Linked DNA regions of Cricetulus griseus. The protein of the gene in region 2 interacts with the protein of the main gene of each other region in a pairwise test. Links are inferred from orthologs where the notes say so. Each region holds a gene or a part of one and is shown on either strand. Other genes may lie near its edges. The genes, in order: cytochrome b-245 chaperone 1, Kash5, Senp2, Rnf146, Emd, Bag5 and Upk1b.

Region 1 (4,032 bases), on a different chromosome or scaffold from region 2:
AAAACCTCTTCAAATTTCATTTATTTTACATTGTTCGTAAAATTGTAAAATTCAGGTTGTCAATGTTTCCCACGCTGTCCTAGTGTAACCTCTTTATCATTTCCTTAAAACTCCAGAACCAACCAGGGGTGGTGGTGTACGCTTTTAGTCACAGCACTCGAGAGGCAGATCTCTTGGAGTTCGAGGCCAGCCTGGTCTACAGAGGGAGTTTCAGGACAGCCAGAGCTACACAGAGAAACCCTGTCTCCATAAGTCAATAAACAAACAAACATAGATAAATTGAAGGGAGCAGGTAAAAGCACCTCAAATAGATAGATGGTAGGCAGGCAGACAGAAGACAGACCGACAAAGGGAATAGGCAAAAGCACCTTGGCCAGATTTGACTTCAGACTCCATTTTACCTGTAGGGTGAGACAAAGTTCAAGCTGAGAACCTTCCAATATATGACTTACCTCCGTAAACTACAGAACTAGTCATTATGCGTCTCTAGCTCTCTAGAAACATGGCTATTACTAACAACAGAAGGAACAAATAAATTTGATTGCTTGGACTAAAAGCTTGCATTGTATTTGTTGACAGTGATGAATACTCAAGGAAGCCCCTAATCTCTAAATCCTTATTGGTGAAAATTGTAACTGTAACTTGGCAACCAATGTTTGTGATTTTTGTGCTTAAACACTTGCTTCAACTGGCATTTGGGGTGGCCGTTCAGCCCCAGAGTCTTTTCTGTGGCCCGAATGATCCATCAGCCCCCTCTCCTTTCCCCCTTCTTCTTCTTCTTTTTTTTTTTTTTTTTCTTATTTTTTGAGACAGAGCTTCTCTGCCTAGCATTGGAGGCTGTCCTGGAACTCGCTCTGTAACCCAAGCTGGCCTCGAACTCAGATCTGCCGGCTGGGAATGAAAGCGTGCGCCACCACCGCCCGGCTCCTTTTGTGCTGCCCGTGTTAAATCTTGCCTTGAGGTAACCTCTTGTGTCTACCTGGGTTGATTCACACCCTCGGACCACAACAAAATGAATAAATAACTAAACAAATAGATGGCGACCCATCGCTAAGGCTCCTAAGCCGCTGACGCCGCGCTCGGCGGGCCCCAGCTTAGACTCCGGCCCCATCGACCGAGCCCGCCCTCCAGCGCCAGGCCCCGCCCCGCGAGTGCGGAAACGGACGCACAACTCCGGAAGGCGTCGTCACTCAGGCTCCGCCCCTCGGGAGTCCCCACCTGGCTTTAGCCCGGAAGTCCTGGGGACTGAAGTCCGGAAGTTCGGGAGGCTGTCCCCTAGTTCCCTCCCGCTAATTCGGTGCGAGTCGGTTGGTGCCCGCGCAAGTGTGTCCCAAAGCTTTTCTAGTTCCGTCTCGCTGTGCTTCCCGTTCTCATGTTCGTGCCCTGTGCGGGTCACTGTTCGCGGACCTGGATCGGGCGTGTGCACTGTGCGGAGCGAGCATAACGGGCCGCTCGTGGAGCTTGTTGGTAACTGAGGTCAGAGGGAGGCAAGTTGTGTGCCTAACGGGGATTCCAGAGCATGCAGGGCACGATGCTTGATTGCACCTGGGAATCCGAGGAGCCACTCAACACTGGGGCTTTGGGCGTTGTCTCCAGGGGTCTTGCCACAGTGTCCCATTAATTCGGATGCATTTGGGCCATAGTTAGTATGACGGCAGAAACTCAGACACAGGGCACTTTCAGTTCCCTTTCTTGATGGGAAGAGGAGTTTCTGGACGATTCGGCTAAGGTGCCGGAAGCCTGAGAGTTGCTGGAGGCTAACAGAGCAACTTCAAGACGAGGATTCGGTTAAGGAAAGGGTTCCCAGATATGACTGTGGCTTGGAAGTAAGACCAGGCCTCACTTTCTGGGCTGTGTTGTCCCTGTGCCCATGTATAATTGTGAGTTGAGACAGTCTCGTGGATAAAGGCCGCTGTGGACCTTCCCCTGGCCTCCTGTTTAGACTGATGAGGTGCTGCCTGTGTGCAGTGGTTGCAGGCTTCAGCTGTGTGTCTTTCTCAGCCGGGTCTGCTGTGAGGTGAAGCCCAGGTTCCAGAGATGTACATGCAAGTGGAGACACGAACCAGCACCCGCCTCCATCTGACGAGGGCTCCAGGCATCCGGTCTTGGTCCCTGCTGGTCGGTAAGACTTATGTTTTTCCCAAGTCAAATCTTAAGTGATGGGAACAGTTTCTTCGTATTCTATTGGAGGTTCTTGTCAATACAAGACCTTGGTAAAGCATGCTTCATTCACTTTGGTGTGCCTTCCCTTTCAGAGGGCATGCAGGGTCCCCTTAACAGACATGCACTCCCAGCCTGTCTGCTTTCTTGAGGTCACTAGGTTTTCTTCCATGTGACAGGTGATCATGGGTTCACATTTCTCTTCCTCCCTGTCTCCGTCCTCCTGGACTCTGTCCCCCATCACTGCCTACCAGAAGTGTCTTGCATCTCATGAACAGCTGCACTTGTGTTGGCTGGGCTGTTCAGAGTCTGAGGTGAGGTACTGGCTGTGACTTCAGCAGCAGGTTCTCTATAGTCCTTTATGATTCGTGAAGGTCCTCATGACATTCTGCATACTGTGCTCTGTGTTGTATTATCTCTGTGTAGTCTTGTCTTTGCTCCTCATCACAGGTAGGCAATACTGACATCTGGGTCATTGCATTTTTCATTTGATTGCAGACGAGTCTGGTGAATGCCATGGATAGCATAACCTGTTTTTTTTTTATTTAATTTTTTAATTATGTAAGTGTATCTATGTATGGGTCTGTGCAGGTGCATATAGGTGCTGTGGAGTCCAAAATAGTGTTACATCTCTGGCGCTGAAGTCACACGAGGTTGTGAGTGGCCTGCGGGTGCCAAATGTTGGACTTTCTTTGGGCTGTCAGTCCACAAATAACGAAATGGAAATTTATTATGAAAGTTTGGCTTTTAGCTTAGGCTTGTCCCCAACTACCGCCTATAACTTAAACTAACCCGCATCTATTAATCTGTGTTCTGCCATGTGGCTTTTTTTCTATAAATAATTATTTAAGTTTATTTTATGTGCATTGATATAAAGGTGTCAGATTCCCCTGGAACTGGAGTTACAGACAGCTATGAATTGCCATGTGGGTGCTGGGAATTGAACCTGGGTCCTTTGGAAGAGCAGCCAGTGCTCCAACTGCTTGCTTCTCCAGCCCCCATGGCATGTGTTTTTTTCTACATCTCTTCCATTGTGTTTGTCTGACTTGGTCCAAATCTTGTTGAGGTCTCTGAGTGCCTAAATTCATCCCAAGTTCCTTTCGCTGCTCAGAAGTACTGCCTATTCTCTCCTGCATAGCTGTTGGCCATTCAGCTCTTTATTAAACTAGTCACAGTGACACATGTTCACACTATGTGATAAAATGGCCCACAACAGTGCTGAGAACTGAACTGGGTTCCTCTGCAGTAGTATATATTCTTAAACAATAAGCTATCTTTCCAGTCCCCCCCTCCCTATTTTTAAACAAACTTCTTGGCTGTGTCCCCAACCCTGCACTAGGTAGCTTCTACCTGCTGCCCCTGAACAAGCTATCCTGCTGTGAGACAGGCCTGCTTTGGGGGGCTGCAGCACAAGAAGAAGGGGAACTCTCCTTGACAGTTAACAAGATAATCCCTCTCTCCACAGGAATATTATCCACTGGCCTGGCTGCTGCCTATTATAGTGGAGGTAAAGTATGTTTTTCCCATCAGCTTCCTTGTACTTGGAAATAAACAAAAAGCAGAGAGCATTCCTAGTGTGTGTAACCTTTGGGGTGGCCTTTGCCTTGCCTTGTGTGAGAGATGACTATAGTCCATGTCCTGTACCTTAAATTTCTTCCTGTTATAAAGTACTCTCGGAAAGAAGCTCTTTAGTATTTATTTGCCTGCCACTTTGCTACAGGGAAAAATCGTGTGTCTTACCCTCCATGACAAGGTATATAGATCTACCTGTCTCCTAGGTGGACTTAGGCAGAGTTTGGGATACACATGTCACCAACGACCCAGGAAGGTACAGGAACGCAGTTGACTAAGCCTGTAACCTGAGATGAAGGA
Region 2 (3,500 bases):
AGCTGGGGTTCAGTCCCCTAAGACAGGAGGCTGCTAAATTGGGAGCTGGCTGAGTTGGGAAAGCTTGGAGAAGAGTTGCTTCCAGACCCTGCAGGCCACACTGACCTGAGAAGGCCTATCTGGGCTGTTTGTCCAGGGCTCAGAGCTGGGTGGGCTCCTGCCACACAAGGCAGGGGCTAGGAAGGCATGCTAAGGGTAGGTCTGTCCCCTCCCTGTCCCTCACCTCTGAGAGGACTGCTTCACGCTGGCAAATGAGTTGTTCGCACTCACAGAGCTGCCGCTGCCGAGGAAGGAGCCTATTTATCTCTTCACCCAGCCTCCCAGCAGCCCCCACATCTCCCTTCAGCCTCCTACTGCCCCTACCAGGTCCTGGCCAGGCCTCCCCTCAGCCTCCAGTGACAGCTATGGCTATCAGCTGCTCTGAAGGGGACTCTAGCTGAGCTGCCTGGGCAGCCCTAAGCCATGTGGACTCTGGCGCAGGACCCTGGTTTCAGCAGCTGCAGTGCTGACTTGGGTGCAGGAGGTGAACGGTTGGTCCTCAGGCCTGGACAAATAAATGCTGCACCTTCAAAGCATCTTTCTCTGTGGCCAGCTCCTCACTCCGCCTCTTCACTCCGTCTCGTTCTGCTAGCAGCTTCCCATTCTGGAGGGAGGATCAGCCTTGCTCACCAGTTGGCGGTGCTAATGCTGTATGCCCTGTATGCACCTCAGTCTTTTCTCCATTCTCCCACCACCCTGCTGGGCCCTCAGCTGGGATTTCTCCACAGCTGGTTTCCCCACTGATTCATGGAGTCCCTGTGAGATAAATAACCCAGTAACTTCCAAGCATTTTGCATGTGAGATTCCATTTCTTTCCCCATTTTTAAAGATACAGGCAACTCAGGCACAGAGGGATGGAGTAATATGATCTGGATCACAAAGCTCTTATTCTAACACAGGCCAGTGAATGTTAATGACCACAGATATTTAGAGCAGAGTCAACTGTAGCTGGCATGTACCAGATGTAAATGTTAAAGATAAATGTTTATAGATACTTAAACTCATGTTCCCTAACATACAAAACTAAAAGTAAGTATAATGAGCCCAGAACACACACACACACACACACACACACACACACACACACACACACACACAGACACACACACACAGACACACACACACACAGACACACACACACACACACACACACACACACACACACACACACACACACACACACACACTCACTCACTCAATATGTAGCTTGGGCTGGCTTTGAGCCTGTGGTCCTCCTGCTTCAGCAGGTATGGGCCATTACACTTAATCCTCATGCCCAGTTGCAATAAATATATTCTGGTTTCTTCTTTTGCCTTCCTGTCTAATTCAGTCATTTTAAATCAGATCTCCCATTTCCCCTGGAACAACACCAGTGTTACCTACTCATGACAACTTATTTCCTTTAGCAAAACCATAACTCAAAATTAGCAACAAAATAGCATGAGCATGGAGACTATGGCTGGCACACAGCAGACTTTACACAAGGCTGGATGCCCCCAGATGTGGACTCCTGTGCTGATATGCACCCACACGTGCTGACATGTGCCACATGTGCCCTTTTCCCTGCCTGCCAGCAGGCAGGCAGGGAGACCCAGGGCTCGCACTGTCCACATTACATTGGCTCTGTAACAGAACGGTGTTGTGGCTGTATAGCCATTAATAGTATCCTTCCTCTCAGCTCTACAAAGGAAACTGAATAGATGCTAAAATACTTGGCAAGGCCATCCCATCTGTGTGATGCCCAGCCCTGCCTCTTTCCCCCCCCCCCCTCAGGGTTTCCTCTGTGTAACTGTAGAGCCTGTTCTAGAACTCACTCTGTAGACCAGGCTGGCCTTGAATTCACAGAGATCACCTGCCTCTACCTCCCCAGTGCTGGGATTAAAGGCATGCGCCACCACCACCTAGCCCAGTGCCACTTCTAATACTCAACCTTTTCTGGGGGGCCAGATGAAGCCCTGGGGTGACAAAAGACATTTGAGAAGCAGTGGTGCTCTAGCCACAAGATGCACAGGAGAGACAAGGGAGAAGCAGAGAGTGCTTAGCCTAAGGCTCACTGAGAAGGCCCAAGCTGGGTGGTGGGACAGCCACCGGGCTTGATGAAGAGGTAGTGCCTGGGCTGAGCCTTCCAAGGGGAGGCAATGAGGTCAGGAATAGTCACCCACAACAGCTGCCCAGTGGGACCTAAGAATAAAATGGCCCAAATCTGGGTGTGAGGAAATACACCTATCATCTCAACACCAGGGAAGCTGAGGTAGGAGGACTGCTTTGAGTACCAGGCCAGCCTGGGCTACATACCAAGACCTTGTCTCAAAAATCAAAAACAGGCCAGGTGGTGATAGCATACACTTTTAAGTGCCAGCACTGGAGAGGCAGAGGCAGGCAGATGGATCTCTGTGAATTCAAGGCCACTCTAGTCTACAGAGAGAGTTCAGGACAGGTTCCAAACTACACAGAGAAACCCTGTCTCAAAAAACAAACCAACCAGAATATGACAATTCAAAGTCCAAGTTTCCGGATACCTGAAGTCTGGCACACCTCATCCTTCTCCAGAGCCCTAGGAGACAGAGGCTACCTCTTCTGGTCTCCAGCCTTGTTCCTGCTCCAGGTCATCAGTGCCTCTCACTCAGCAGTCTGGGCTGCTGCTGGGTGAAGGGCAGAGGAAGGACAGCTGGGAGTGCTGTGTCAACACCTGTCCACCTGGTGGGACCCAAAAGCACCCTGCAGCCTTCTGCAGAAGCACAGGCTGTGGGTTTTTGGGATTCAGCCAGCAGCCAGACCTTTGGAGGCTGAGTGTCCCATTACTTTACCAGGCCCGGCTGTAACCTGAGATCTCAATCTCTAGATCTCAGTGGGTAGCTGCAGAAGGCCAGCAAGGAGCTGAGAATAGCTCTAGCTATGGAGTTAGCATGCCCAGGAAGTTCCTCTGAGGGCATAGATTGGGCCTGGGGCAGGAGGCAGGGGTGCTGGTGGCTGGTTCACAGGGCTGACTCTTGCTGTCTTGCATTGCATGCCCTGGGGCAGTGACAAGGAAACCTGCCTGCTAAAGAAGCAGCTATCCCAACCCCACCTTGCTGACTATCTTAGCTCCAGGCTGAAGGTAAGACATCCTCCCAGGCTCTCTTCCAGCTGTGGTTAAGGGATAGAGAGACAGGAGTGTGTGTGTGTGTGGGGGGGGGGGCTGGTGCCTCCCCATCTGCCTTGAGTCATCTGCGACTATGAGACCACAAACAGGAAAAACAAAACAAAACAAAAAACTGGTAAGAGACTGGGTATGCAGGAACTTGCCTACAGTCCCAGATCTTACCTGGCTAAAGCAGAAGGACTAGGAGTTCAAATCCAGTCCATACTACACCATCTGACCCTGTTACAAAAAACCCAGGGCTGGGGATATCGCTCAGTGTTGCTTGCCTAACACATGCCAGAACCTGGGTTCCATTTTCAGCATACCATCACTTAAAAAA
Region 3 (3,500 bases), on a different chromosome or scaffold from region 2:
TAGGTTGTCACAATGGTCCTGAATGTCCAAGGTCAGCTAACTATCCCACAGCACTCTTCTGAGCACTAGGATCAAAAGAGTATGGCATCAGACTAAGGGAGCCAAAGTTCTTTTTTAAAGTATTGCATTGCTGAGTGTGTGTGTGTGTGTGGGGGGGGGGGTGTCCATGTGCGTGGACATGGAGGTCAGAGGACAACTTGCAGAAACTAGCTCTCTACAGTGTGGGTCCTGGATATTGAACTAAGTTCATCAGGCTTAGCAGCAAGCCTGAGCTTACTTTAGTCTTTACTCATTGAGCCATTTTGCTGCCTCCTAATATTCTTTATAAATATTTTTTAAAATACTTAAATTTTTAACCTTTAATTTCTTGACCTTCATATCAAAGGTAATAAATGCATGATCATTTCTGGAAATAAGTCAACCTATATGTTAATTCCCCCCAAATCTATGAGAATATTTTTTAAATTCAATTTATAAACATCACAGTGTGTTGGGCTGGAGGTGTAACTCAGTAGTAGACTACTGCTTAATATATACAAGATCCATACAGGCAGGCCTTTAATCCCAGAACTCAGGAGACAGAAGCAGGGAGATCTCTGAGAGTTTGAGATCAGCCTAGTCTACATAGAGAGTTCTAGGACACACAGAGCTATGAAAAGAGACCCTGTCTCAAAAAACAAACAAACAAAAGATGTATGAGGTCCTGGGTTCCATCTCCACACAAAAATCAAAAAGGGAAAGGAAAAAGACCAGTAGCCAAGCCCCATCCCCACTGACCTCTCCTGAAGGGGCCACATTCCGTGTTCCATTACAAGCAGAAGACACCATGGGTTTTGTGGTCAGCTGGAATGGGACTCCAAATAAACTTGCAGCATTGTAGAGACTGTTTTTCACTTGGTGAATGAAGCAATCTAAAAAATAACAAATTATAAACAGAGCATTAACTTGCAGAAAAAATTAATTGTTTTGAAAAGAACCTCTACTAGTTTTTAATAAAGTCTTACTTTTGAACACTGAAATAAAACTGTATCTATAATATAAAAGTATTTGGGAGCCATCGAAGTGGCTTGGTGAGTCACAGTGCTTGCTATGCAAGCCTGCCTGGCAACCTAAGATTGATTTCCAGAACCCACATAAAGACAGAACTGACTCCACAAAGTTGTCCTCTGACCGCCACAGGTATGTTACAGCATAACTCCATTCACACATGTGCATCATACATACATGAATAAACTGAATAAGTGGAATTCTAACATGTGAATTTTGTTTTAATCAACTACCACAGCTGCTATAAAAACATTAAACTATTACTTTAATAAGCCACAAACTGATTCACCAAGAAATTATCTCAAGTAGCAGCTTTTAAGCAGTAAGCTTTGTAGAATGCATAAAGAAACCACAGAGATGAAAGATAAATGAACAAGGAACATACATACTGCTAGGTATGGAAAACACACAGAGAGCACTGACCTTTACTCAGTTTGCCATTCCTTCCCAGGCAGGTGACAATTTGATTATCTTAAACAAGCATCTACAAAGCCCCTCATAAATCTTGACTGAGTGCAGTATAAAACACACAGCTCTTAAGCATCTGTGACAAAAAGCTATCCCACTACTGAACCAGATGCATTGGACAATTTCTAGTTCACTTCTTCCTGGTACCAAAGATTACAAAACAGAGAAGTAAACAAAAGGGGAGTGTGTTTCAGTGCTCCTCCACTTCCTTCTTTCATAGTACTACCTCCTCACTTCCTACACATCTGTGTTTCTCAGTTTCCTTTGTACTTACTAATTAATTATAAAGAATTATTTTATGCCTTAAGAAAAAAAATAGCCTAAAATGGTAGCTTTAAAGCAACAGAGTTCCAATATAAATAAAATACGAAATAAATATTCTCTAAAAAGGGGAATGGCTCCAATAATCGAGAAAATGTGTTGGTGAGGTGGAGCAGAATCCAAACTGGAAGTAATTTACTTGTTTGCTGACTACGATGGTGCATACTTGTAATTCAAACATTCAGGACACTGAAGCATCCTGTCCTAGTTAGGGTTACTATTACTGTGATGAAACACCATGACCAAAAGGGTTTATTTGGCTTACACTCTATCGTTACTGTTCATCTTCAAAGAAGTCAGGGCAGGAACTCACACAGGACAAGGATCTGGAGGCAGGAGTTGTGATGCATAGGCCATTGAGTGTGCTGCTACTGTCTTGCTCCACATGGCTTGCTCAACCTGCTTTCTTATAGAACCCAGGACAACCAATCCAGTGGGACCACAATGGGCTGGGCTCTCCCATATCAGTCACTAATTAACAAAATGTTCTACAGGCTTGCTTGCAGCCAGATCTTATAGTGACATTTTCTCAACTGAGGCTCCTTCTTCTCCAATGATTCCAGCTTCAGTCAGTTGACATAAAAATAGCAAGCATACATCCCAACTTCATGAGGTGAATCTCAAGCTGGAGACCAGCCTTAAGCAACATAGGAACTTAAGGATAGCCTGTGCTACATATGGAGACCCTGTCTCAAAAAGGAGAAGTTCTAACTTTTTAAATTGTTGTTTTCCATTTCAGGAATTTGGAGACAATTTCACGTTATTCCTACAATAAGTTGAAGAATCATTTCTATTTTATTTGCCTACAAATTTTATTTAAAAAAAAAAAAGGGACGCCAGACGTTGGTGGCTCACGCCTCTAATCCCAGCACTCGGGAGGCAGAGGCAGGCGGATCTCTGTGAGTTCGAGACCAGCCTGGTCTACAAGAGCTAGTTCCAGGATAGCCTCCAAAGCCAGAGAAACCCTGTCTCGAAAAACCAAAACCAAAAAAAAAAAAAAGGGGGGGGACTATCCTAATATTGTGTTAACTTATCCGCTGAACTCTCACAAAGGCAGGTCTCACCTGTAAGAGACTCAAGACTACACAGTTCTCCTGAGACTCTGGCTTTCACTGTAAAGTCATGGGTCTGCTATGATGAGGTCCTCCTCCTTTCTTCCTTTCCTCACCTCTTCTGCTTCTCCTCCCCAAAGGTACCCAGAGTAACCCAATGTAAAAGCCAGAAGCCAGGTGTGGATGCCTAGCAATTTTGTTTAAATGAGTGAAAATTAAAAGTTCAGTTCTTTATTGAGGTGTGATGGCTCACATATGTACTCCAGAGATTGGGAGTCTGGAACAAAGGGTTGAGACCAATTTGGACCACTTAGCCACACACCCACACACCACCCACACCCATACACAAAATTTAAAAAATTTCAAAACCCTCAATTCTTTGAGTTAAACTAGCCACAATTGACGTAATCAACAGTCATCAGCACAGGAAGATCTGCTGGTCAGCACACTGTGTACCCAGCTCATCTCCAGTTCAGATTACTTTCTGCTGTTTGCAGTAAGGAAATCAAACTCTGTATTCAACAGAAATGAAGGAGTGGGGTGATCCTTAGGCCAGATGTAGATGATTACCATATACAACCAACCCAGGAACCTTCTCTAATACCACCAAAG
Region 4 (4,152 bases), on a different chromosome or scaffold from region 2:
ACGTATATGGAAGATGCTGTGAACTGATTGGCTGACTAAACTTTGTAATAGTGGTATAGGAAAATGCTGCAAACAAGAGCCAAATATTTGTTCCGCCCCCACATAGTCGCCATTTACTCTTAATCCCTGTATCATCTGAATTAACATCTTTCTGACTGGAATACAACGTTGAAACCTAGCTGGCCAGTAGCTTCCTTTTTTATTCCCCGTACCCAGTGTGGTACTGGGGATTGGATCCAGATGCTCAAGCATGATAGGCAAACACCCTACCACTAGATACCTAGTTCGTTTTCAATTATAAAACCAACGTTATAGCACCGAAACCTAAACAATATGCTCTGTCACAGTCGCCCAGCTACCCGATGGACTACCCCTACCAAAATATTTGATAATACATTGACGTATAATCTTCCCTTTTTGTGGCTATACAAAGTTCATGTAATAATATTTCCTAGAACAACAGACTGAGTAGCCCGAATCCATGCTCGGGATTCAGTTACTCATGGCTGTCTCCACATGAATTCTTCCTCCTTTCCCTTAAGAGCAGAGGCTGTGCTTTGTAGCTATCATATAAGCACCCGAAACATTTACAGTCCTGGCATTGAGACAGTTAATAAACCTCAAAATGCAACATTGTTGCAAGCACAATGCAACAGTTACAGGAGGCGGAAATACTTTCAAAGGTGACGAGGCCCCGCTAATCCACCTAGTTTAACTACAACTTGAGAAAACTCACTCAGCTCTGTAAAAGACCATGTGTGGGTAAAAACGAACGACTAGATTTTGATGTTTAAAACTGTATGCTTGCCATCAAATGAATCGGCAAAACTTACTCTAGATTCTTAAGTCGATTGATTTCCTCTTCTAGCTTCCTAGGCTGTTAGGGTACAAAAGACTTGTTGAGACCCCCAACACGTCCCCTCCCCCATTAAATTTCCTAGCCATTTGTGAGTGAATAAACTGGAGCATTCCAGGGGACCATCCAGTCCACGCCGAGTCTTTGCAGATGTCTTCTTGATAAGGAACAAGCAGTTAAGGACACTTCAATTGGAAACTTAGGGCTTGGCCCAAGGGCTTCTTGGGGTCAGAAGGCTGGATTTCAGGAGAGCTCCTCTTCCTGGTCCCGGATGTCTAGCTCCCTCGCTCAGTGCTCTCTGGTGGCACCCCACAGTGTCAGAGCCAGGTGGTGATAAGGTGCACAAAGAGCATGGGAGGGATCGCGGCCAGAGAGCCGCCCCGCCGCGGGGAAGGGCAAGAGAGGTCTGCAGGCAGAGCGTGCACCGCCCGCCCGCCAGCCTCCGGCGCCGCGCGCGCGCTCGCCGTGGGGGCGTGGCTTCCGTCGGCGCGGCCCCGCCCCCTCGAGCGCCGGGCGTCACGTGGCGGCCGCGCGCGTCCCCGTCCGCTGCGGGCTCCGAAGCGGAGGAGAAGAGGCTGCGAGGTGGCTGCGGCGGCGGCCGAGAGGTGGGCACCGGCGGGACCGGTGGGGAGCGCGTGTGTCCGAGGGCTGCGGGGCCTCGGCGGGTGGCGCTGCGACCGCGCTGGCTGCGGGGCGGCGCCTGGAGTGGCGGCGAGCGGCGGCGGGTCGGGGCCGGTAGGACAGGGACGCCCTTGGCCAGCGCGGCCCGGACGGGCGCGCGGAGGGAGGCGAGCTGGCGCAGCCCGGAGCGTGACGGGCGCGGCCCCGGCCATTACTACGCAGGCCGGGCTGCGGGCAGCGCCGCGGGGCTCGGCCGGGCTGCGGGCAGCCACGGGCTGCATTCTGTCTGCCGTCTGCGGTGCTGCTGCTGCTGCTGCTGCTGTGCTGTGCTGTGCTGTGCTGTGCTGCTAGCCTGCCCAGCGCCCGGAGCCGTCCCTCCTCCTCGCGCTGGCGGAAGCCGCCGAGTGTTCTTGTTTTGATGGCTCCCAAAACCTGAAACCACCCCGAGGTGTCGGAATACGCGTCGGGGCCTCCCTACCCGGGTGCATCCGAAGATCCCCGTTTCGTTTGTCGCTTTGTTCTGGTTGCTGGGTGTGGAGTTCTCTCCCTTGCCCTCCACCCCATCTAGGAGTGCACGGGATCCTCATTGTTCTGGCTGTCTTATTTTCCTGAGCGGTGTTGTTTTTATTATTATTTTTTTCTTCTTCTTTTTTTTTTTTTTTTCTTTTAAGAGAGAAAGGCATGGTTACGTTGTTTTTGAGGATATGGAAATGGAATCGTCCTCTACTTAGGTAAGAGATTCCGGACTGTGAGTTAGCACACGCATTCTGACAGCTATATTTTGTCTTTTCTCCGGGTGCTGTTTAAGCACTTCTCAAGTTTTCAACATTTTGGGGTTTTTGTTTTGTTTTTGTTGTTTGTTTGTTTTTTAACAGTACCGAAATACTTGACAAGAACTTAGGGAAGAAGAAAGTCAAAGGAGATAGAAAAGGCTTTGTTCATTGATTGACATTTCAGGTGCTAGGGTGTGTTCACCCCCTCCCGCCGTGTGTTTGTGTGTGTGTGTGTGTGTGTGTGTGTGTGTCTGCCTTCCTTGTTTTGTAAACGGGATGTGCACCTGGAACTTGGCTATTGAAAGTTGTATATTGTCATCGAATTTGAGCATGTAGAACATTTCAGTAAATGACCTATATTAGACTTTTTAAAGGACATGGCATATTGAAAACAAATGAAGGAAATGACCCATACAAACTAGCAGCAAAGCTCCTGGGTGCTGTGAAAACACATGAAAATAGGTCACTTAAATCTCATTTTTAAAGAGAAAACTCGAGAGTGACTGCCACACTAAAGGAGTTTGGGATGTGTTTGGGTCTTGGATATGATACAGTGGAACACTTGGGTTTATGTCTCAAATGGGCCTATGTAATGTGGGCAGAATGAAAACCCTTGTGCTTAAATGTTTGAAGATTTCTGTTTTGCTGGTGAAGAACTGAGTAGAGTTGTAATCATGGGAAAACATCCCAAATAGCTGGTCATTAGATAAGAGGAATGCAAAAAAAAAAAAAAAAAATTCTTTTGGGAGACTCGTCAAGTGATAAGAGTCACTTTTGCATTGTTTTCTTTTTTGTTTTTAAAGGATTCAAGATAATTCCTTGACCTGAAAAAACATAATAGGAAGAACTTTTTCATATTCATCTGTTTACGACACATTTTCTGTTAGCCATATATGTGCTTGACGGATTTAACCAGTTGTTACTGATTCTTACAAATATTTTCCTGCAAGAATTAGAGGTAGAAGGTACTGAGTCTTTTTTCTGTCCTCTTGCCCAGTTGGGTTCTTGATAACAGAGGGAATTTGTGGAACTGTTGGCCGGATTAGAAACAGTCTTTCTGAGGATAGACACTATGTCTACACTGGTGTACAGCCTCCTTTGCTAATTTGTACTCTCTCATTCACCTTAGTTAATTAATACAAAGCCTGTTGTTAAAGGCCTCTTAATTAAAACATTTAAAATTGTAGAATCACAGAGGAGAGGGTGAAGCAACAAATACGTAGTGATGACTTGACCAAGGTCTCACATCTTAATTAATAAGAGGACTTTGTTATTTACATAATGGTTGCTGGCCATGAAACCTGATTGATGAGATTAAAGTGTCTGTTGACATTCATATTTCCTGAGTTATTGAAGTAAATGCAAAACCCACTTCGAAGGGAAGAAATTTGAAGATTTACACCTAAATATGAAGACTGTGAAGGCAGTCGGTAGTCATAGGATGATATTGTTTACATTTAACTGAAATTGAGTTTTGACAGAACACTTGTTTCCAATTCGACTTAGCCCTTTTTTTGAAAGCTGATGTGATGAAGTACAAAAGTTACATGCCTGTGAATTTGGGAATCTTTTTTAAGAAATTTCAAGATGTGTGTGTTAAATCCCACCTGACCTCTGCTCTCTTTTCCTGTGTTTATAATAGATACACATGTAGGTAAACTTGTATACAGAGGGAGGTTTGAAGTAGTACCCCATCATTGACACCTTTTTTATACAATATATCCTGTTTTGTGTATTTTGAATAAAGAGTAAACTGTTTCTTTAATTCTTTAAATAGGGAAAACAGAAAGTGTTCAAGCATATATAATTTGATATTTATGTTTTTAATTATGTTTTATATATTCTTGTTTTTCTTTTATTTTTTAAAGGTCAATATTTTATTCAAGTCGGTTATCTAGGGAC
Region 5 (2,536 bases), on a different chromosome or scaffold from region 2:
ATGTAATATGTATCCAGGACAGAAGACCTGGAAACTGAGCAACAATAAACAGGCAAAGAATTAGGATGAGTATCCTGCAGTTTTTCTATCTACCCCCATGCTATCAAATAACTATCAATCCCAGGAGCTGAGCAAAAAATCCACTGGCAAGATGCCTCATTTCTTTTCTAACCTTGTAACTTCACATATTGGCATGAGCCTCTCCTGGCTAAAGTGCCTGCATGTATCATCATAATGCAGTTTTGCCTGAATTTCCCATGGGCACATTTGGTTACATGGTAGTTATTTTGTAAGTAGTTGTTAAGTGCTTCAGGGAGTGAGCCCAGAAATAAAACCCACAACGAAAACATAGACTTATCTTTGGGTAACACTGGATCCCTTCCCCAAGAACAAACTAAAATGTAGAACCAAAGGTTAAAGTCAGTGATTTTTGAGACCCAAGACTAAGCACTTGTGCCACAGTAGCCCAACTCCCACCCCAGTAGGAAGAGCCAACAAAGTAAAAATAAATGTGTTTTTTATTGTGTCCACAAAAACAAAGCCAGGGTGGCCTTTGGTTAATACACCCTAAAAAGGGGTGACAACAAACAGGCATGCATGACAACTACCATCACCTCCACCAAGTTTTCCTCTAAAGAAGTGGGGTCTTATCTCCTGGAGCCCTAAGGGTCAGAAGCAATAGGACTAGGAGGCTCCAGAGGAAGGTACATATGGGCCCAATGGGTTGTGGAAGGCCAGCATTTGCTGCCTTCTTGGCAGGAGGAGGTGGGAGATAAGCACTGCCCTAGGCTAGGCCCTGAACCCCTTAAAGAACACATAAAAAGCCCTCACCCACCCTACCCCCAGCAAACACTGATAAGGCAATCAGCCAAAACTCTTGTTAAGAGCTGCTCAGAAACCAATACTCTCAGGGATCCATCCAGAAAGGGTTGCCTTCTTCAGCTTGTATGGAGTAGTAAACAAAGAGCAGAAAGGCAGCAAAGACCAGGAAGAGCAATAGCTGGCCCCAGAGTGGGACCTGACGATCCTGGCCCAGAGCAGCAATAGGAGCCTGCTTTTCTGGCCTGATGGCACGTCGGGTAAGCCATGAAGAGGGAGAAGATGAAGAAGAGGACACAGAAGAGGTGGAGGATGTAGGATAATAGGACAAGCCCAGGGAGCTCCTGGAGACGTTGGAAATGGGACGGTAGTGTGCAATGCTCTGGTAGACACTGTCTCGGCCATAGATGGGGCGTTCCCTGTGGCAAAAGAAGGAAACAAGTGGGCAGGAGAGCCTGAGGCCCAAACCTGTCCCTGTCCTTATGTGTGTTCACTACTCACCTATCCTTGCCCTCCTCTTCTGAAGAAGAGAAAATATCATCACGAACCTGCAAGACAACAGGGGTTAGGAATTGGGGGAAGGGTGGTTTCCCAAAAATGTCTCTGACCAGCCTACTCTAATCATACCCTAGAAGCCAGACCATTGCCCCCTCCCTCCAGAACGATTCTGATCTGTGGCCTTTTTACCTGTGGAGCCTTGCTACTCAGTGACTATACCTGTCAACTCTGTCTCAGCATCCTTTTATTCCCCCTTATTCTCAGAAGGCTTAAAACTAGATCCCAGACTAGAGTGCAAAGAATGCTACATGTGCTCTGATCAAAACAGTTTGTAGACTGGATACTTGATCGGCTGGATACTTGAGTTCAGTGTCCAGCACTCACCACCAGGGAGTTTACAACCACCTGTAGCTCCAGCTACAGAATAAAATTTGTATTAAGAAAAGAGAGATGATGGGACAAATGAACTTTTAAAAATGTCATGCAACTTTATCTTGGGTTTCTGGTTTTTATTTTTTTTTAAGACTTTTTAAAAATGCACCAACACTCATGCATACTATCCCAGACACATAAACATAATTAATGTTTTGTTTCTTTTTGAGATAGGGTTTGTCTTTGTAGCTCTGGGTGTCCTAGAACTCACTCTGTAGACCAGGCTGGCGTCAAGTTAATAGAAATCTGACTACATCTGACTCTCCAGTGATAGGATTAAAGGTATGTGCCATCACTGCCTGGCAAAGTAATTAAATCTTCAGTTTTGGAGGCCCCAAAGTAGAACTCTGACCCAAACAGCTGTATGCCGACCCTAACCCTATTTGACCGCCTAAGGACTACTCTCTGTACCTAATATCTCCTTGGACTTATCCAGACCCAGTTAGGATCCTCTCAGACTACATCCAGATATGCTGCCAGTCAACTCACCTGGTGATGGAAGGTGTGGGTATCTGCAAGTGAGGTCCCTGGCTGGCGAAAGCTCTTGGACATACCCACAGACTCGGGCTCCCCATATGTCCTGGTGGTCAAATAACTCTCCTCATAGTAGTCGTCATTATATTCTTGGGAAGGAAAAACAGTGGTAAAGGAGAAAGTGACCTCATGGCCCCAAATTCTGTGTGTGTGCTGTGACAGTTTCTCCACTCTAGAGCCATTGAGAACTGGGGTGAAGTCTTAGGTTTCCCTGTGCCCAAATTCCCTGATAAAGGACCCACCCCACACCTGT
Region 6 (4,256 bases), on a different chromosome or scaffold from region 2:
GCTCTCTAAAAGCAGATAAAGTGTGAACCAGCAGGAGCAGCTCCTGGTCCATCAGTACTCCCACTCGTCGGACTTCAGATCAAGGTAGCTGAGGATGTTCTGGGCCAGCTTCACAGCCTGCTTCCTAGCAGACTTACACTTCTCTTCTCCCTGGGGGTCAACAGCGTCCAGGGTCAGCAACTGTTTGGTCAGCAGCTCCTCCAGACGGATATAGTTCTTATCAGTTCGGTTTCCACCAAACGAGAGGACTTCACCCTGAATCTCTGACAGGTTTCCAAGGACATCCCACACAGCCTTGTGTGGGGGGTTCTCCTCACTAGGGAAGAGCTTCCTCTTCTCCAGGGCCTCCTTGAGGTCCAGGTACGTGATCAGGGTCTGCACTTCAATCACGGCTCTTCTCCTGGCTTCCCGGATGCAGGGGTTCTTCTCAACACTGACTTCATCTAGCTGTCCGATCAAGCCCTGAAGTTCTGTCTTGGAGCTCAGGTACAGTTCGGGAGGGCTCTGAGCCTGGAGAAGTTCATTTTTTATCTCTCGCATCCTCTTGAGCACCTTTTCTATTTTCAGAATGGAATGGTTCTGCCCCAGGTCAAATGCATGTGTACTGTCAGCTTCCTCTTCTAAATCTAGGTATTTCAGTAGTTTGTTGATGTCCTCCACCACCTCCCTCCGGTAATTTCTGATCTCCGTACGCCCACACACGTCTAAAGCATCTAGATCAGCCATCAACCCTGACAGCACGCACGATAGGTGCCTGCAAGTCTCAGTACTGTCCACGCCCATCAGAAGTGCGATCAAAGTGCCCCTGGCCTTGTTCACCTCACACATCACCAAATTGATCTTGGCAACTGAAGGGTGCACATCCTCAGAGAGCGGCAGGGAAGGCTGCTTCTTCATGCAGTCTTCAATGATCTCTTGCACGGCACAGATCTTGGTTAGGGTGTGGTACCTTGCTTTCCGCAAAGAGATCTTCCCTCCTGTTTTAACATGCGTCAGCCTCAGAATGATGTCCTGGATGCCTTCCTCAAATTCGTCAGTCACACAGTTGCCTCCACTGTAAAAGGGCACGATCTTTTCTTTCACAAGGGCCTGTGCCTCCTTAAAGATGTTCTGGATTTCAATCCGGTGTGGGTGGTTTGCATTCTGCTCCAACTCTTTGAGAAGGCCTTCTGTCTCCTGCGCTGCCCTCTTCCTAGCTTGCTGAATGTCTCCTTTTCCTTCTGTGTCTACAGAGTCTATTTCAAAAAGTTGTTTCGTCAGAATCCTCTCCAGTCTCTTGTAATTCTTGTCATCCGCCAGGCCGCTGAAGCCAACCACTTGAGGCTCTATACTCTTGACTTCTCTTTGGATCTCCTGAAGCCTACTAATAGAAGGGTGTTGGTTTCCCATATCCATACTTCTGTGTTCAGTTTCACAAGCACTGAAAGACGGCAAGAGTAACTTATTACAGTCTCTGCAGGACAGTTAGATCAACCCACTTTAAACTCACTTTTAAAAGGCATACTTTTTAAAGGATTAATTGGGGCTATGGAGACAGCTGTCAGTCAAGTGCTCCAGTTGGAGCTCCAGAACACATGCAAAGACAGCCAGGGCAAGGGCCCTAGAGAGGGCTCAGTGGTTAAGAGCACTGGATGCTCTCCAGAGGACCTGGGTTCAATTCCCAGCACCCACATGGCCTCTCCTGGTCACCTGTAACTCCAGTTCCAGGTGATCTGATCCCCTCTTTTGGCCTCTACAGGCGCCAGGCACACATGTGATGCACACACATACATGCAGGCAAAACACCGGTGCACATAAAACGTAAAAGCCAGGCAAGATGGTGCTCACTTACACCACCGGTGCCAGGAGTCAGAGACGCGTGGACTCTGTGGTTCACTGGCCAGCTAGCCTACTCCGATTGGGGAGCTTCGGGCCATGAGAAGCCCCGCCTCAAAAAAAACAAAGTAGAAGGACACCACAGAAATGGTGTGTCTGGGGGGAGGGGGGCAGGGTTGAACTCTGGCACCCGGGCAAGCACCAAAACACACAGACGGAAGGTTTTGTCGTTATTTATAGATTTGGAAGACATACTCGAGGAAAGAGGAGATGTGACATGTTAACTCCCTCTCGGGAAAGCACTTCACAAAACAATGTGCCAACACGCCCGGCGCCAGGGAGGCAGAGGGAAGAGAATTAGGAGTTCAAGACCCGCCCGGGCCACTCAGTGAGATCCTGACTCAAAAGCAAAACGAAAACAGGGAGAAGTCTGTCCAGTCTGGGGTGGATGTCTGGGCCTGGGAATCAAAGTGAGCCGCGCGCACACACACACGCACACACGCACACACGCACACACACGCACACACTTTCACGGAGGCCAAACCATCCGCGTCAACCCCGTTTCCTCTGCTCCCACCGCCCTAGAGGACGACTGGGAGCGGCAGGCGGGGCGGGAGGCTCCCCTGTGGAAGTCATCGGGCGCTCTCCGGGGCTCCTCACCGGGCCACCGTTCTGCCCCAGGCCCAACCGGACTTGTCCTTTCCACGAAGTCCTCGCCCCCCTCGACTCCCATTGCTGCCCCGACCCGGGCCCCCGCCAGAAAGCGTGACAAGTGCGGTTATTAGCTGGGTCACTCGCCTCCCCGTAAGCATGCTTAGAGCTTTTCCCACGCTCGCTCGCTCGCTCGTTCCGTCTCTCAGGTTTCTGTCAAACCGCTCACTTCCGGCGGGCCGGCCACAGAACTCAGTCCAAGCCCGGAGAGGTGCGGGCGGCGGCGGTCTTGGCGGCCGCGGAGGGCGGCGAGGCGGGAGACCGGCCCGTCACGGGGAGCGGCGCCGGAGCGGGGCCCCCAGCGGCATCCCCCTCGCCCTTCCCGGCTAGGTCTGACCCGGGCGGCCGGTGAAGGGGCCGGCGGAGGCGGCGGCAGCTACTGGCCGCGGCGGCCGCTCCGGGGCGTCTCGGCCGGGCCCGACGCGCCGCCGCCTGACCTCACAATGGGCGCGCGGGAGCGGCGGCGGCGGGGAGAACGAGGCCCGCGCCCCCCCCGCGCTGCGCTGCGCTCACCTGGGCCGCTCGCGCCATCGCGCGCGCTCCTCCGCCTGCACTTCCGCAGCGTTGCCGAGGCGGCGCCCGCCGCGGGGCCGGCCGCCCAGCTCCGAGCCCGGGGAAAAACGCGGCCGGGCCCCGCCCCGGGCGCGCCCGCCGCCGCTCTCCGGGAAAGCGCACGGTCGGCCTCGCCCGCGCCGCCCGCCGCCGCCCGCGCGACGCTGCCGTAAAGCGGACCGCGGCGCTGTCGCGATCGCGCCGCGCGCCGGCCATGGCGGCTCTGCGGCCCGGAAGCGGAGCGCTCGTCCGGCCGCTCGTCCGCTCCTCGTCCAGCGGCGGCGGCGGCGGCCGGCTGGCCCGGGAACGCGGCACGGAGCGCAGGGATGCGGCGTCCAGCCCGGTGAGCGGACGCCCGGGGAGGGAGCGGGGCGTCCCCGGAGCCGGCGTGAAGCGCTGTCGGCGCGCTGCGCCCTCACTTCCGCTGCGCGAAGGCGCCCGGGCTCGGTCTGGAGGCGGCGGCGGCTCGGGCCGCGCGTTGTTTGTAAACAGTCGCGCAGCGTCAGAGGCCGCAGGGCGCGTCCGCAGCGAGCCGGGAAAGCGGCCGGGCGCTCGGCTTTTGTTTAACCCGCCGCCCTTCTTCCCGAGCCGGTGCTTCGTTTAAGGGAGGCCCGGGCCAGTGAGAGTGATGGCTGAGGCTTCAGGTGGAGAGCACTAGACAGCGCCCATGGCTGCCCGCACTGCATTTGCCAGCAGGCCGGCGACACAGGCTGGCGAGGTTTGCTTAAGCAATAATTAAAGGGCCGCAGCGGGGAAAAAAAAGGTGTGTGGGGGAGATAATTAAGAATTGCAAAATGTGCCTGCTGTGTGAATTTCCATTTCTGTTATGCTGCGTCTCGGAAACACTTTTATTAGAACTACAGCTTTTGAAGTCTGTCTAGTCTCCAGTTAAGGTTTGTTGCCCGGGCTCCTGGCCTCTGGCTCGGTTCCCTGGCACGAGAAACAGACAAGCCTTCACTTCTGTCTCTAGAAAAATAGAATTTTAGTCCTTGGGCAGAAGGAAAAACGAAACAGGTGTCTGAACATGTTTGGGGAGGGGAAATGTAACTCAGCCAAGCATTTACTTTGGGGTGTGTGTGTGTGTGTGTGTGTGTGTGTGTGTGTGTGTGTGTGTGTGAGAGAGAGAGAGAGAGAGAGAGAGAGAGAGAGAGAGAGAGAGAGAGAGAGAGAGAGAGAGA
Region 7 (3,500 bases), on a different chromosome or scaffold from region 2:
TGTGAAAATGGAAACATTAGGCAGAGGTTTCTCTTCTGAGATTTGCCATGGAACAGAACAGTAGTGGAGCAGAATAATGGGTGAACACTGGACAAAAGTTCTTGAAGATGTTCTTGTAGGCTGACATTAGAGAGAACTGGTGAGTCAGAGCCAAGTAGGCTGAAGAAAGGCAGAGGAACTCAGATGGAAGCCAAGGACTTGGGTTGGGGCAATCTGTTTGTCACTAGTGAAGAGGCTTCGCTGCAGATAGTGGATGGGCAGAGGTGAAATGGACTCCATCTGATTGCTTCTATATTCTTAAGGCATTGCTTAAGAGGTGCAGCTATTGCTGAGGCTGAGGGGTGGGAGGAATTTGGCAGAGGTGGAAAAAGGAAAATCTATGCAATAGTGACAAAGCAGATTTAAAAAAATATATACCAGGAAACAGAGAATGCCCATTTGAGCTTTAGAGTCATAAATTTAAATTAGCACAACTGGGGGACTTTCCTCAGTAATATCTAGCCCTTAGGGGAGGAGTGGACAAAAACTGTATTCACTTCTGGAGGGACTGGGTAGGAAAGACTGGTGAAAATAGACACACAATGGAGTAAAGGAGAGGACCAAAGAGAGTGATGGCAAGAAGAGAGCATGAAAGGGTGATAGGAAAGGAAAACATGGACAATTAACTAGAGAATTAAACTAGACAAATAAATTGATCATTTATTCTAATGGAATAAAATGATGAAATGAGGATATTGGGGGCAAATGAAAGAAATTATAGAAGGTTGTCAGAAAGTGGGTGGCATAGTTATTGGTGACGGCATGCTGGCTGTGGCCGTGGAAGACGGTGTCTTGAGATGAGGGGAGGAGATCTGTGGGGTGCAGAAGAGAGAACAGGTGTTGTCCAAGTGTCTATGTGGTTTTTGAAGCCTTGTCCAAGGCAGGATGCTGAGAACATGAATGACGAGGACATAGTTGGTGATACTGAAATCCCCAGTGAAATCTGGGCAGTGACTGGAAGGTGTTTGGTAAAAAGCCACAATAAAGAGATTACAGGCTGATGGCACAAACTTCAAGTGTTTAAACAAGAAAGGATTCAAGGGGAGAGAGAATAGAGAAGCCATGCAGCCTAGCCAATTTCTAGGTCTTAGGGCGCATGAGCATAAGAGGACAGATAAGGGAAACTAGGAGGCAGCCAGGTTTCTAGTGAAGCAGGGAGAGTTGAAAGGAGTAGAAAGGTTGGTATATGTGTGAGTGTGTGTACATGAGAATGTGTGTGTGTGAGAGAGAGAGAGAAAGGGGGGAGAAAGAGAGAAAGAATGTGTGTGGGGGGGAGAAAGAGAGAGAGAGAGACTGTGTGTGTGAGAGTTATGTGTGTGTGTATGAGAGAGAGAGAATGTGTGTGTGTGAGAGGTGTGTGTGTGTGTGTGTGTGTGTGTGTGTGTGTGAGAGAGAGAGAGAGAGAAAGAGAGAGAGAGAGAGAGAGAGAGGGAATTGTGTGGGAGAGGTGTGTGTGTGTGTGTGTGCTGGGGCCAATGAAGAGTTGACTCATATTATACACAAAAGATAAAATGGGGCAATATTATGGAAGACTAGGGGTTCTGATGGTATTTGGAATAGGTTTGGATGTATGGAATGATGTGCACTCAAAATTGTGATTAAATCCAAACATATCTTCTGATACATAGCAGAATTCTTCATAGGAGATATACAAAGGTGAGACAGGCACATACCACTATTTGAGTTTGCTGTGGGGGAGAAAAGTCCCCTTTTCCTGTTAATGTAAGGGAGACCTAACATTGTAAGAGGCAGAACATACTATGAATCTAAAGTTTCTAACATACACTCTGTAAAGGCAGGCTAATCAGCATTATAGCTTGATATCAAGTATGAATCCAGAGGCCTCACTGAGTCAAGTGTTTCCCATTCCCCTTCCGCACCCTCGCCAGTAAACAAGAGGCATTGCTGACCCAGCCAAGAACAAGTCTCTAACTGAAGGAAGCCCTTGGAGGCACTGACCTCACTCCCACCCACATTCAGGTTCTTACTGGTTCAGATGTGCTTTGGATCACCGCAGAACCACACATCTTACCTGGAGCATGAGCCTATCCCAGGTCTTGGTAACACCATTGTTTTTCCATTCGTCATCATTGGTTGGGGGACTGTTGTTTTGATACCTCACCAGCATCTGCTTCAGGAAGAGGTTGGCTGTGAACTGCAGGGATGGGGACGACACAAGATGGAGTGTCAGCACACCTGCTCCCAAGAAAGGCAAAGTCTTCTGCAGAGCTGGTTGTCAAGGACACTGAACATCCTCATGGAGGGAAGCTAACCTCGGGCACCAAGCTCATTTGGCTGGGGCTACTTTGGGTTTCCATAGAAGAGACCACTGCATGCCAAGGATAGACAAGCATTTTAAGATGGAATAGATTAAGGAAATGGTGAGAAATGGAACAAGAAAGATTCAGGATTGTGTCTTCCACGAGGCAGAACATGCAGGAAGGCTGTAGCGTGGTCGCGTGATGAACAATGTTAGTATCACAGGTTGGGCATTGGGAACCAGGCTTGCTGGGATCAGAAGTCTTGCTGTCACCTGTCAGTTGCTTATCTTTAAATAATGTTCTTTGCTTTTAATGCCCCCGCCCCCACTTCCCACCCAAGGAACCTCCTCTCTCTTTTAAGTTAGCAATACTTCCCATTTGAGGTTTCTGAGTATTAAGTAAAACTGCACTCGTATTAATAGTGTGCATATTAGCATGACCAGCACACAGCAAGGACTTAATGCATGTCAGTTGCTACGGTGCCAGTGCTATTATCATTTTTGTTCTGTGCTTTGGGGACTATACTCACAAAGTCTCGTTGTGTCGCTGCTGTGATACAAGATGCCACTTCAAAACCATACACTATAAACATCATAATGAAGTACTGGGAAGGAAACAGACGAGAACAGAGAATTACAACTGAAACTCACCACGTGATTGCTGTGAGATTTAAGCACATTCCTCTGAATGTGCTATACAAGCCACTTATGTAGTACAAACTCTCTTGGATCAGCTGGATCTCTTGGAACGGGGCTGGTACATGAGTGTCAGCTCAGTTCTCTGCTTATCTCTAGAGACATGGCCATTCAACTTAGCACTTTCTCATCCAGCATCATGAATTTCTATTTTAACTTGGTGGAGCTAATATAAGCAATGAAGGAATGTGTGGGTGTTTCAGAGTTTTCGTGTACACACACATGCTCAGTGGCCTTAGTGCTTTATACATGACGCCTTACATTGTAAATCCCTTCTAAGTGGGAATCATTTTCTTCATGGATTGCTGGAGATGTAGAACTACAGAAGCTAGGGAAAGATGACAGAACATGTTTAGTGCCTTGTGTCTTTCCTACTCAGGCTCATCTGTAACAAGCAGGCAACCTTCAGGCATGGAGACTTACTGGTGATCTGTCACAAACCCATGTCCTTGTGATAGCAGCTCTGGTGAGGGCAGAGCAGAGCTCTCTGTGTGCTGCCTATGCT

What was found.
Region 1: the proteins of Kash5 (region 2) and cytochrome b-245 chaperone 1 interact in binary tests that used the Homo sapiens proteins (3 or more experiments, as listed by UniProt). The two-hybrid records come from large-scale screens. The link is inferred for Cricetulus griseus from reciprocal best matches to the Homo sapiens genes KASH5 and CYBC1.
Region 3: the proteins of Kash5 (region 2) and Senp2 interact in binary tests that used the Homo sapiens proteins (3 or more experiments, as listed by UniProt). The two-hybrid records come from large-scale screens. The link is inferred for Cricetulus griseus from reciprocal best matches to the Homo sapiens genes KASH5 and SENP2.
Region 4: the proteins of Kash5 (region 2) and Rnf146 interact in binary tests that used the Homo sapiens proteins (3 or more experiments, as listed by UniProt). The two-hybrid records come from large-scale screens. The link is inferred for Cricetulus griseus from reciprocal best matches to the Homo sapiens genes KASH5 and RNF146.
Region 5: the proteins of Kash5 (region 2) and Emd interact in binary tests that used the Homo sapiens proteins (3 or more experiments, as listed by UniProt). The two-hybrid records come from large-scale screens. The link is inferred for Cricetulus griseus from reciprocal best matches to the Homo sapiens genes KASH5 and EMD.
Region 6: the proteins of Kash5 (region 2) and Bag5 interact in binary tests that used the Homo sapiens proteins (3 or more experiments, as listed by UniProt). The two-hybrid records come from large-scale screens. The link is inferred for Cricetulus griseus from reciprocal best matches to the Homo sapiens genes KASH5 and BAG5.
Region 7: the proteins of Kash5 (region 2) and Upk1b interact in binary tests that used the Homo sapiens proteins (3 or more experiments, as listed by UniProt). The two-hybrid records come from large-scale screens. The link is inferred for Cricetulus griseus from reciprocal best matches to the Homo sapiens genes KASH5 and UPK1B.

Annotation. Positions count from the first base shown.
Region 1 is NC_048600.1:133,705,601-133,709,632, reverse strand, and holds the start of cytochrome b-245 chaperone 1, read left to right. Parts: upstream 1-1,232; 5' UTR 1,233-1,476; exon of another isoform or gene 1,477-1,487; intron 1,488-2,001; 5' UTR 2,002-2,037; coding exon 2,038-2,122; intron 2,123-3,625; coding exon 3,626-3,667; intron 3,668-4,032. UniProt on the Homo sapiens protein: Functions as a chaperone necessary for a stable expression of the CYBA and CYBB subunits of the cytochrome b-245 heterodimer. Controls the phagocyte respiratory burst and is essential for innate immunity.
Region 2 is NC_048599.1:154,082,637-154,086,136, forward strand, and holds part of Kash5 (protein KASH5), read right to left. Parts: intron 644-3,500; coding exon 566-643; intron 281-565; coding exon 224-280; intron 1-223. UniProt on the Homo sapiens protein: As a component of the LINC (LInker of Nucleoskeleton and Cytoskeleton) complex, involved in the connection between the nuclear lamina and the cytoskeleton.
Region 3 is NC_048597.1:66,907,723-66,911,222, forward strand, and holds part of Senp2 (sentrin-specific protease 2), read right to left. Parts: intron 912-3,500; coding exon 778-911; intron 1-777. UniProt on the Homo sapiens protein: Protease that catalyzes two essential functions in the SUMO pathway.
Region 4 is NC_048595.1:247,900,041-247,904,192, reverse strand, and holds the start of Rnf146 (E3 ubiquitin-protein ligase RNF146), read left to right. Parts: upstream 1-1,352; 5' UTR 1,353-1,461; intron 1,462-2,148; exon of another isoform or gene 2,149-2,208; intron 2,209-4,152. UniProt on the Homo sapiens protein: E3 ubiquitin-protein ligase that specifically binds poly-ADP-ribosylated (PARsylated) proteins and mediates their ubiquitination and subsequent degradation. May regulate many important biological processes, such as cell survival and DNA damage response.
Region 5 is NC_048604.1:1,456,020-1,458,555, forward strand, and holds the end of Emd (emerin), read right to left. Parts: intron 2,373-2,536; coding exon 2,239-2,372; intron 1,368-2,238; coding exon 1,321-1,367; intron 1,239-1,320; coding exon 908-1,238; 3' UTR 501-907; downstream 1-500. UniProt on the Homo sapiens protein: Stabilizes and promotes the formation of a nuclear actin cortical network. Stimulates actin polymerization in vitro by binding and stabilizing the pointed end of growing filaments. Inhibits beta-catenin activity by preventing its accumulation in the nucleus.
Region 6 is NC_048598.1:182,322,582-182,326,837, reverse strand, and holds the start of Bag5 (BAG family molecular chaperone regulator 5), read right to left. Parts: upstream 2,801-4,256; 5' UTR 2,628-2,800; coding exon 2,614-2,627; intron 1,421-2,613; coding exon 52-1,420; 3' UTR 1-51. Other genes in the region: cytochrome c oxidase assembly factor 8, read left to right, coding at 3,293-3,421. UniProt on the Homo sapiens protein: Co-chaperone for HSP/HSP70 proteins. It functions as a nucleotide-exchange factor promoting the release of ADP from HSP70, thereby activating HSP70-mediated protein refolding.
Region 7 is NC_048597.1:51,378,160-51,381,659, reverse strand, and holds part of Upk1b (uroplakin-1b), read right to left. Parts: intron 2,905-3,500; coding exon 2,830-2,904; intron 2,195-2,829; coding exon 2,072-2,194; intron 1-2,071. UniProt on the Homo sapiens protein: Component of the asymmetric unit membrane (AUM); a highly specialized biomembrane elaborated by terminally differentiated urothelial cells.